3 linked regions of the Oryzias latipes genome follow. The protein of the gene in region 2 binds, or shares a complex with, the protein of the main gene of each other region. Links are inferred from orthologs where the notes say so. Each region holds a gene or a part of one and is shown on either strand. Other genes may lie near its edges.

Evidence for each region. Proteins that work in one complex are often made in the same cells at the same time.
Region 1: the proteins of mybl2 (region 2) and lin52 are in contact, whole or in part, in a crystal structure (PDB 6C48), measured with the Homo sapiens proteins. The link is inferred for Oryzias latipes from reciprocal best matches to the Homo sapiens genes MYBL2 and LIN52. Residues at the interface, in NP_002457.1 of Homo sapiens: Trp663, Val666, Ala667, Gly669, Thr671, Asp673, Gln674, Phe676, Lys680, Ala681, Gln683, Leu684; in NP_001019845.2 of Homo sapiens: Gln84, Ala87, Tyr88, Gly91, Leu92, Glu94, Ser95, Met98, Thr99, Lys102, Phe103, Leu107, Glu108, Lys109.
Region 3: mybl2 (region 2) and lin54 share a complex: the UniProt entries of both Homo sapiens proteins name them as parts of the DREAM complex. The link is inferred for Oryzias latipes from reciprocal best matches to the Homo sapiens genes MYBL2 and LIN54.

Annotation. Positions count from the first base shown.
Region 1 is NC_019880.2:13,721,140-13,725,360, reverse strand, and holds the start of lin52 (protein lin-52 homolog), read right to left. Parts: upstream 2,810-4,221; 5' UTR 2,807-2,809; coding exon 2,773-2,806; intron 2,722-2,772; exon of another isoform or gene 2,662-2,721; intron 1,987-2,661; coding exon 1,933-1,986; intron 1,317-1,932; coding exon 1,242-1,316; intron 1,166-1,241; coding exon 1,128-1,165; intron 1,031-1,127; coding exon 964-1,030; intron 203-963; coding exon 119-202; intron 1-118. Other genes in the region: pomt2 (protein O-mannosyl-transferase 2), read right to left, coding at 3,786-3,891, 4,077-4,188.
Region 2 is NC_019863.2:23,220,269-23,223,346, reverse strand, and holds part of mybl2 (myb-related protein B), read left to right. Parts: coding exon 1-85; intron 86-1,038; coding exon 1,039-1,171; intron 1,172-1,251; coding exon 1,252-1,317; intron 1,318-1,394; coding exon 1,395-1,583; intron 1,584-1,658; coding exon 1,659-1,925; intron 1,926-1,998; coding exon 1,999-2,141; intron 2,142-3,078. UniProt on the Homo sapiens protein: Transcription factor involved in the regulation of cell survival, proliferation, and differentiation. Transactivates the expression of the CLU gene.
Region 3 is NC_019870.2:2,882,972-2,887,086, reverse strand, and holds the start of lin54 (protein lin-54 homolog), read left to right. Parts: upstream 1-1,306; 5' UTR 1,307-1,438; intron 1,439-1,478; exon of another isoform or gene 1,479-1,729; intron 1,730-1,835; exon of another isoform or gene 1,836-2,257; intron 2,258-4,115. UniProt on the Homo sapiens protein: Component of the DREAM complex, a multiprotein complex that can both act as a transcription activator or repressor depending on the context. In G0 phase, the complex binds to more than 800 promoters and is required for repression of E2F target genes.

The sequences.
Region 1 (4,221 bases), on a different chromosome or scaffold from region 2:
AGTGAGGTCAACCTGTTTGGAATTTGAATGTGGAAGCAGCCAAAGACTTCAGCGGCAGAGAATTGCGTGGAAATGCTTTTAGCCCCCCCTAGTGGTGAAGTGTCTTTGTTATACTTACACTCCTCTAAACCCAGCTGGTAAGCCAGATTCTGAAGTCCTTTGACTTTTTCCATCAGATTGGCTGTAGTCAGACTTCCCAGCTCTGCAGAGGTATAACATCACACTAAATAAAAGCATTTAGAGATACTTAATTAGCTAAAGAAACATGAATTATTATTTAAAGTCCCACTCGGATTTGATCTTTTGATCTGTTGTAACCCTTGTGCTATCCTAGGCACTTTAACGTTGGGAGTTGGGTCATGTAGACCCACTAGACAGTGCGCTGAACTTTTTTTCTTCAATGATTTATGATCTTCACTGGTGTCCATGGATTACATGAAATCTTTCCACCTTTATCCACCTTTGTCATGGTCGGAAGAACACGTCAATGTAAGGGTGGGGTCATCTAAGATAGCACAAGGGTTAAAAGGCGTTCCCAGAGGTCTTTTAATGAATGATTATGCCGTTTTTTGCCGAGATAGAAAAAAAACACTGTGTGATTTTTAAGGACAGTTAGAGCAGAGCTGCAGTAGATCATCAGTTTATACACTCTACTGCTAGCTTACAGCCACTCACACCCCCAACCTAACCTTAGAAACGAAAATGGCGAGCAATATTGATTAAGAAATAAGAAATTTCAAACAGCATTTTTTCATCTGCTCCTGATTCACAACGATTTGAATAAATAAGAACTCAGAAATGCAATTTCAAGCTTAATTTTCTTTATACGTGTCCTCCATTATCAGATGTCAAGATATCAAATGCCACAAGAACATGTTCAAAACACGGTTTTTCTTATCAGAGTGGGTTTTTAATGTTTTCCCTAAGGTTTATACAGGATAAATGTCAGCTGTCTGAACCAACCTTTCAACATTTCAATGTCCTCACTCTCCAACTCAGCCATCCACTTTGGAGGAGAGGTGGTGATAGGCTGCAATAAAAAGAGAAAAACAACAACATACAAAGTCTCAACTCCAATCAGTCTATGCAGAGTCAATCCTGCATCTTTAGATCAGAGCTAAACTCACATTTTTGCAAGTTGCCGCAAACTCTGCAACTCCAGGCACTGTGTGAGAATTCACATAAAGAATCAATTACAAAGTAATTTTTTATCAGCTGGGCGTGGGAGGATAGAAACTTACACTGCTCTGGCCACAGGTCAGGTGATGCTCTGTCCAGCTTCTCAAAACTCAGCAACGAAATCTCAAAATCCTCCCCTGCAGAAGCACACAGTGGTTCACTTTGACATGTTCTTTAGTTTTTTAAGTTCTATGCTTTTGGAAATCAGTGGTCAACTATAAAATTCAGCCAAATGTTAATTTAAAAAAAATTAAAAAGTAACTTTTTATAAACAGGTCAAAAATTGAAACCTAAAAACAACTTTTGTTTCATGTTTTATCTAGACAGAAAGAGAGGAAAAAATCTAATATTTATCTGGTCTTAAAATTAGGCAGTTTCGAATGAGAATAAATGGTTTTATTCATTTAAGATTCGTACAAACACTGATCAATTAAAATGTTCAAAGAGGTCATAGTCATGTGGTGATCTGATCATCTACTAATAACTCTTACACTGCTGTAAAAATATGTTTGGCCATTTAAACAGAAATGCCTCGTTGATGTGAGAGATCAGAGGAGAATGGCCAGACCGGTTCCAGCTAATAGAAAGGAAACAGGAACTCAAAGAACCACTGGTTTCAACCAAGGTCTGCAGAAGAGCATCTCTGAACAACCCTTGAGGCAGATAGGCTACAGCAGCAGAAGACCACACCTAATGCTGCCATTACTGTCAGCTAAGATCAGGAAACTGAAGCTTTAATTCACACAGGCTCACCAAAACTGGACAATAGAAGATTAGAAAAACATCTGGTCTGAAGAGTCTCCATTCCTGCTGGGACATTCAGATGGTAGCATCAACAACATAAAACCATAGATCCATCCTGCCTTGTATCAACAGTTGAGGCTGCTGGTGGTGGTGGTGTGATGGTATGGGGGATCTTTTCTTGGCACACTTGTTAGAGACACTTTTCTTTCTTATTTGTCTGTATATGTATAAAGGGTTTTCTTTCTTATCAACAATTACTTTTGCTATCAAATCTGAACACTGGTCCTTCACCAATATAGAGAATTGTATCCAAAATTTCAATAACTCTTGACAGAGTGTGAATTACTAACTAATAACATTATTGGTTCTGCAGACTGTTAAACTTTTTAGAATTTGCTTTCAACATTTTTAACACATTAAAAGATACTCATTACGGACATAATACTTAATAGCAGACTGATTCCATTTTCAATCAAAGGAGTCGAACAGTCACACAAAATCTAACAAGCAACCAAAACAGCTACTACTAATTTAAAGTAGAGAAAAATAACTAAGTGCTAAATGTAGCACTGATGCTAATTCGAGCCAAACGGCCAAACGAAGCAACAAGAAGAACAATCTGGACTGCTGCTGTCATCATCAACGGCGGACAATGTCAGTCCCAGAATCAGGAAAAACAAAGGAAGAAAAACAAACCGATTAAACAAGAATTTAGTCCTACGACAAATTTTACGTTACCTCTGGGTGTTCACATTACACTGCGTTATAACTGTTAACGACTTAAATGTCTCGAAACTGTCACATTTGCGATGTATTCAAAGCGTATCGGAGAGAAGAATTAAAATTTACCTCCATTTGGAGACGCCATCTTCAAAATAATCATGTGACATGCAACAACCAATCGCAGCGGCCGCGCTCTGTTTTGAGGTGTGGCGATGTTTTTCAAAATTACGCCGCTAGAGGGCGGCAATGGTGCTCGCGCTGTTTACAAGAGGCACAGAAGATTACTGTTCGTTTTATTCAAAGATTTATATCGTCTTAGAAATTGTAGTACGAACATTACTGTCATAACTTAATGAAAAGACCCTTATTTAAGCCCACCATAGTCTCAATGAAATGTTACAATGCTGGTACATTTTATGGTTTTACCTTAGGGGACATTTAAATCACCTTTTATTCCCTCTAGTTTTTATTTCTGGAAAGAAAAACCATAACTCAATTATTAAACAAGACTTTCACATCCCAGATTTGGAATGTTTTGCATTTAGTTTATATTTTTATAACAACAATTTCTTGCATTTAGTTTACTAGGCCCATGTTTCACAGATTTTACAAGTTTGAACTTAAGTATACATAAAAAAACGGTACAATTTATTATATATATATATATATATATATATATATATATATATATATATATATATATATATATATATATTGAGTTTTCCAATTTTTTGACTTTGCGGCACATCTCGTTTTGTGTTTGTAAATTTTGCAAATATAACAGGACATGAAATACAAGAATAAAACAATTTATTGATCAACATAATAAAAACACAAAATCAAAAGTATAATACTAAAGCTCAGGACAATCTCAACTAAAAATACATGTAAAATGTTCTGGCTTTAAAAAAAACAACAACTACTGTCTCTTTCAAATGGAATTTAGTTTGTCACTAAAGGCAACTTGGTGACAACTCCAGTGCATCTTAAAAGATTCTACAATCTGCTTTCCAAACTGACTGAATTCACATTTTTTCTTACAGAAAGACAAATGAAATGTTTAGACTCAAACTGATGTTTTGAAATTCCCTCGGCTCAAAATGCTCCGTGTCTGTGACATCTTAATCAAACAAGGATAACTAGAAGTCCCAGGAGTCTATCCACTTCAGGCCTGCCATGGCACTGCCCGGCTCATGGGCAAGAGGACCCATCATGCCATAGGACAGAGGATGAAAAAGGTAGAAACTGGAAGGAAGACAAAGATCTACTCAAAATCAACAAATTCTTTATTGCCTTTACATTCCCACCAACTAGATGTAAATATGAGGTCTGCCTTACAGTATTTAGCACTTTGCAATGCAAAAAGTTACGAGAAGAGTTACTTTCACCTGATATAAACTGCAAAGTTAGGGCTCTCTTATGAGTCTCACCTGTAAAGGATGCTGAGCTGAAGTAGCAGCCATCCACCAACTTTCAGCCGGTCAGAATAAACAGAGTGGAGCAGCAGGTCAGAGCTTTTAAGAAGGATGTCCAGTGTAACTCCTGTTGAAACAAGGCGACAACCCTCAAAAGACG
Region 2 (3,078 bases):
CGCCCGAGGAGGACCTGATCATCTACAAGGCTCACTGCCTGCTGGGAAACCGCTGGGCTGAAATCGCCAAGCTCCTCCCTGGAAGGTTCTTAACCCTTTAGCCCTGCAGATGTCCACGCCGACACCTTAATAACACACATTCTTGGGCGTACCGTAACACTTTGACTATTTATGCGCTCAACCTGAATCGGTGGATTACTATACTAACGTAAAGTGTTGCATAACAGCTCCAAGCTGCTTTTCTCCGCTTCAGAAAAATTGTCTGTATTTGAGAACTGGACTGAGTGAGCGTGATGTCACCCACAGAAAATGGCTTACTGGTTCCAGCGAAATGAGGTCAATTCAGTCACCAGTTTTTTACAATACCAAGGCCGCCATGTTGGAATCAGACGTCGCCAATGAGGAGTGATTAGTCTGAGTCAGCCGCTCTCGCCAATCAGGAGCGAGCTCGTTGGAAGTCCCCGCTAGGCCTACACAAATGTATCGCCATCACAATATCAGCCTGTGCGAGACGAGTGTTGCAAAAGACTAAATCGTTACCTTTACATTCGATGAAACAACCTCATGGCAGCTTAAAGTATTTAACGAATCCAATGCGCATTTGGCCAATCAGGTGGAGCCCGTGGGTCATTTGGAGTCTAAATTAAGTTATGTTGACTTTTTTTTTTTGTTTTTAACAAAGAGTTGCAGTGAAATAGTAATTGGTTTTTCTTTGGCTGTTTGTTCATGTAACTCGAGTCGTATTGTGTTGATCACTAATTTCATAAATTGAAAGTTGCAGTGCAGCCCTACTTCACGCCCCTACCACTCTGAAGCTGGCGACACAAAATCTGTCAAACGTTTGACGTGCACATTTTTATTGAGGCACCTGATTGGCCCATTTATAACTTGAATGTTCAGAATCCTCTTTAAAGTCTCGAATTGCGTAAGCGGTGGAAGAGTTACGGTAGTCGAAAGAATGACAAAACATTGACTAAACCCCTGCAGATTTCTGGGTTTGGAAACTTCCAAGTATCCATGTGGTATTTGTGGTAACAGGACGGACAACGCGGTGAAGAACCACTGGAACTCCACCATCAAGCGCAAGTTGGAGATGGGCTTCTACGCCGGCGAGGTGTGGGGAGCCAACGAGCTGGAAGACATGATGGCTCGTATCGGTAAAGACGTGCCGGTGGGTGAAGATCTCCTCAAACGCTTGTTTCCGGTAACTCATTTCCAATCAACTGAAGGTTTTGTTTCATGTTCACGCAGACGACGGCTAGCTTCTCCCAGGAAGCTCTGGAGACGGAGGAGGAGCAGAAACCCCAAGGCGCCTCGGTGAGCGGCCGATTGAATCCGTTCGTGACTCTTCACGGTTTACGTTCAGTTCACCTTGATGCGTGATGTTTCCGCAGCAGACGCAGGAAACCGCTGCAGAGAACACGGGTGAAACCAAGCTACTAAACGCCGCCCCCTCACCGAAAGACAGCCTGAGCCCTAAAACGGACGGAGAAATGAGCTGTGGCAGCTGGGTGGTGGATGGTTCTGGTTTCCTCTCCCCCACAGGCCCGGCTCTGAAGGAGGTTTTGGACCTGGTGGACGGGGTAAGATCAACTGTTTGTAAATACTTGAGATTGCCACCTTTGAGAGGACAAAAGCAAGGAAACTTCTGTTTGAAGGATCTGGACGGGTGGTGCAACTTGGCGGAGTTCCACCTTCCAGAGGACAGTCCCAGTCCAGAGCGCCACCAGTTCCGCCTGGAGGGCAGCGCTCTGCAGGAGCTGAGCAAAGGCAGCAAAGGAGAGCTCATCCCCATCTCTCCAGGCGGGATCACGCCGCCCTCCATCCTCACCTGCCGCCACCGGAGGCGGGTGGCCTTGTCTCCCGACACCACCATGACGCCCAAAAACACCCCCGTCAAGCACCTGCCGTTCTCTCCCTCTCAGGTGGGCCTCAACACAAAAAAACTCAGAAAAGTCTATTTTCGGTGCCTCCGTTTAACGCAGTTCGTCTTTCCAGTTCCTGAACATGTGGACCAAGCAGGACACTCATGACCTGGAGAACCCCTCCCTCACGTCCACACCCGTGTGCAGCCAGAAAGCCATCGTCACCACGCCACTGCAGCGCGACAAGACGCCGCTCACTCAGAAAGAAAACTCTCTGTGAGTCGGCCTGGTTGCAGCGTTTTCTGTAGATGTGATTTCATTGAACCTCCTGGTTTGTTGGAGTCGGGGTGCGCGGCGGCAGCAGACCTTATGCCTGAAGCTGCGTTCACAACGCCCCCAGCAACGCGCGTTCAAGCAACCACGTCCAATGAAAAGGCTATGTAAACGGGCGCTTGGTGCCTTCGCTTTCACGCATCGCTACACACGTTTTTAAAACCGTTTTCGGGCTCTGCGTTCAGTGGACACCTGTTGAAAGTTAAACCGGGTTGAATTTGACCAATCAGGGACTAGGATTTGGTAGTTATGAATGGATGGCGTCCCTTTTGATTCACTGAAGTGCCAATCATGAAGGAAAAATTAATAATTGCCTTTTGTTTCTGGACGGAATTCTATCACACCAAGTCTTTCAGAAATTGGAGTAGAGCTGGGGAAAAAATAGCCTGGAACAAGATTTTTGACATTTTTCGACATTTTACACCGAGTCTCTTCCAACAACAGGCGGCGGCCATGGTCTGTCACAGGTAGTGACACTCCGCCATATGAACACGCATCACATGCGTGGTGGTGTCACATGCACCCATACAGGTTCTCCTGTATGTCCAGGCTTGCGGAGGGTCGTAGACAGGCAACCCGATTCTTTAAGGGAGCATTGATTTGGGTTACTGGAGTTTTTTCAAATGTAATAGAATAAATGAGACGGGATTGATGAAAATAAAATAAAAACTGGAAAGAATAAAGCGCAAAATCCCAATAAAGCATATTGTGTTTTTGGTGTAACTCCTATTGCAACATTCACACCAGACATGTGACGTTTCTTCAAGAACACGCATTCTTGAACATACTTTTAGCAAATGGTGTTCACACTGGAATGTTGCTACCGGATACTTGTGCATGTAGTCATTGTCGGTGTGAAAGGTCGAAGCGGAGCAAATCT
Region 3 (4,115 bases), on a different chromosome or scaffold from region 2:
TTGTAATATTTTGAACAATTTTGAACAGATGTTTTTAGAAAAAATACAAACTTGTAGATATTTTTTTAGTCTTCCCATATAGACGATAAACTAAAAAATAATTGGTTTTGAAGTTGTTGTTTATCATTTTTAACACATTTCTTTTGGCTTGTTTGATGTCAATACTTAAGTTTAAAAATAAATAAATTATGTAATTAGCATTAATCTTTCATCTAATGGCTTTTTAAATTGCAGCAGTGTTTTTAAATTATTGCCAGAGTTTTTTTTAATTGAAGTTATTAAACTCTATTATGAGGTCTGTTTCATTTCATCAAATGATCTAAACTAAATTGTTACAAAGTTTTGTTTCCTTTTTCAACCGTCAGTGAAGCTTTTTTCCTAACTTTAAGTGTCTCAGCATTTATATGTGCATTTTTGCAGGAAATCCTCTATTTATGTTCATTTTACATATTTCTTTACATTTCTAGATACCTAAAAGTGTGGGTTAAATAAATAAAACTTTTATTATTAACACTTGTATTTAAAAATATTAACAGATTTTTTCCCCCCATTAGATGATTAGAAATTTGCCTCTAAGTTGTGGGTGAGACAAAGGAAGTTGAGCAACCCTCCTTCCTGTCACCAATAACTGAGAGCTCTCTTTTTGCCTCCTCTCCCACTATATTACAGCCCCTCACACCCCCAACCTAATATTAAAGGGGGCAATGACAATGGTGAGCAACATTGGAGCTATCCAGCTGTACAGTTTTGATCCAGATACCAGCTCAGATGAGGAAAACAAAGACATCTGCTGGGAATAGAGCAGGGAACTTGTGGCCAGCATAAAGTTGACGTCACAAATGTGATCTTTTTCAAACTGCAGGTTTTTAACCTGCCCCTGACTCACGCCAAAATGAATAAAGAAATACACAAAAATGCAATTTTGAGCTTAATTGTCCTCCTTAATCAGAAAAAATGCCACAAGAACATGCTTAAAAAAACAAGTTTCATCGGAGTGGGTCTGTAATATTAAATACAAAAAAATTCAAGATAAAATAAGTCATAAAATCAAATACAATATATTAAAAAAAATCTTGCAGTTTTTCGGATTTCACGTGTTCTGTAGTACTGTAATATAATTTAAAGTCCAGATGAAATAAATTTAAAAAAAAGGTTGATAATTAGACCACTTACAATTGTGAATTTGACATTTTCTGAAAAAAACAGCTGATTATCAAAAACATTACATTTTTTCTGAAATTATTCTGAATAAAATTTCAGGACAGATGAATGAGGGGGCCTGTCCCTTTAAGAGTTACGTCACGGTGGTGTCACGCGAGGAGGGCGTGGCCGGCCTGTGAAATGTCAGGGAGGAATGGCGCTCGGCGCGGTATTTTGAACAATCGCTTTTACCTTTCCTCGCTTTAACTGGAAACGCTACCCAGCGTTTAAATCCCGGGTAAGCACGATTACCTGTTACCGCCTTGTGAACTTTACCGCACCGTTTGCACTAGAAAGCCGCGCACTTAGGAAGCTGTTCAATGTTGAGGTATAATGTTGTGCTAGCTAGCTGGGGTTAGCCAGCTCAGCAACTTCGCTAGGAGAGTTGTCCTGCCTGCTGGATGAAGATGAAGCCGCCGATGAGGAACCGGGTTTTCACTGACGTTTTCCGCTTTTTTTTAATGAAATAAAACAAAAAAACTTTCGTGCGCTGGGGCAGAAATACGCTGTTAACTGCTTGCTAATGAAGGTAAAACAACAACAAAAAACACAACTGGTTTGGGGTGTTAAGCCACTATTTCGTTGTTTTTTAATTGAACTGAAATTAGTGATCTTAGTAGTTTTTTCAGTTATCTTTAAAGCCTACGTTACAATCAATTTAATTACATTTTTAAACTCTAAGCTTTTTTTTTTTCAAAAATAAAAAAGGGGACATTTATTAACCACCGGAAACAAATTTAAACATGTGAAAACAACCAACGTTTTTGTGGAAAAGTAGTTCATCTGAGTTCTAGGTGTTGCAGTCCGAGAGAAATCCAAACTGACAGGAGGAATTGTGGGAAGCTAGCATTGTTTACACTGTCACAGAGTCCGCTCCGGGTGTTTGTGCGCGTGCCCCGGATTTCCCGGGTCTGCCCTCGAGCTCGGGGGAATGCCTTTGTGCTTCACCGTGAATCTTCTCCGTTTGGTGTCTCCGGCGGCTGGCGTGTCCGCTTTCAACGGAACCTTTTGTCAGTTTTTCTGCGCTAGCAGGGCAGCTAACCGAGTTGATGACGAGGTAAAAATGGCGGATCTTTCGAAATCCAACGCCGGCCTGAAATAGTAACGCAGACCGTAGACGCTTTCCCCCCCGTTGCTTCATGTCCTCGGTTAGACCCCCTCCCTCTGGTTCTGACTGAAAGCGGGTTTGGGCCCGCCTCCTCGCGGGGGAGGAGGAGGGGAGGAGTTCAGGTGGACGTGGGGGGAGGTTCGGGGAGGGTTCGCGCGCTTGCGTTGAGTTGGCCATGCACAGGACCGCTGCGGCCTAACAGACCATCAGCTGTCAGCCTCTGTCACAACCAGCTGATGTGCACATCCCGGGACTCCTGCACCAGAGGCGTGACTTGGTGGGGTTTGGGGTGTCTCCGTTGAGAAACACCAGAGAGGATTTAAAAAAAGAAATAAAAGGAGATCTTTCCATTTGCATTTATCACGCAATCTTTATTACGGTGATGGACTCAACCTTTAAAAAAACTACAACTACTGGCTGAGAATTGTACGGCTGGATTGCTCCAATATTGCTCATCGTTCTTGTTGCACTGGCAATGTTCGGTTGGGGGGTGTGAGGGGCTGTAAGCCAGAAGGAGAGAGAGTGTAAACAAAGGGATGATGGGAAGTCAAAGCAGGCTTAACACACCCCCCCCCCCCCCCCCCCCACCAGTGGTTCAGTCCCCAACTCTGAGGTGATTTTCTGATTAACTCCTGTTGCTCTGCAGGAACTATGTCCTAGGAAATGACAGTAGTTTTTGGATTATTGGCTAAATACGGCAGAATCATAAGTACAAGACCACTGGGAACACTTTGAGAATAGATCAGAAGATGATTGGAGTTGGACTTTTATTGTTGGGTGTCTATTGTTTTGTTTTCAATGTTGTGACGACACTGAATTGTGGGATTTCTTTCTCCTCTCCATTCTGGTCCCCAACATTTTTCAGGCTTGTTTGCGGCTGAAGTGGCTGTCAGATTTTCTTTTACCTCCCAGCTTTGTTTTATTTTTTAGGGTAAAGTTTATCTTCATCCTCTGTAAAAACAGAATTTCCTGAAGGAATCATTAAAATGTGAAATAGATTTTCCCTGAACCAATAACTGTCGAAGTGGAAGACGCCAACTTCAGCTTCGTCTGACCTTTAGTCACTGAAACTGATATTTTCTAAACATAAATGTAAATTTAACATTTGAACAACTTTATTAGCAGCGTCCTCGTAACATTAGACAGCCTTTTGCTGAATATTGTTGTTGTTATTAGTGTGTGTGTTTGTGTTTATGGGGGGGGGTTACAATAATCCACATTTGGAGTAAAGACTCCTGGTTTATGTCTGTTAAATGCAGTTTTCTGTTTCCTCTCTGGATCTTTCCTGCCAAAACAAACTTTCCAAATACGTTTTGTTTTTTGTTAACTTTGCTAGCTTGGAGATTTAAATTTAGCGGTCGGTGCAGCCACTTTAAGAAAGATGCATTTCCTACATGTGTGACTTGACAGAGAGGAATGTGGGTCGTGGGTTTTTTCTCTCTCTCTCAGTAAAGAGTAACGCAGATTTGCAGAGATGCTTCGACTAATGCACAGGTGAATTTTGACTAAATTAAGCAAACTATGGAGGCTGAGACCACAGAGTCTGCAGAACTGGAGATACGATCCATACTGCAGAAAACAGAAATACACGGAGTCTTGGATCAAAATGTTGTTGTTTTTTAAATGACATATTGTTTTTGTACTTCTGATTGTCTTATTTTTTTTTTTAATCCATAAAAAAAACAATCTCATTTCTGTGATCTCTGCTCAAATGTACTTAAACGTTCCCTCTTTGACAGAATTTGTTGTATTTTATTGTAACATTTTCCGAACCCCCTCCCCTCGCCAACGAAGTTTCTCTAAGAAA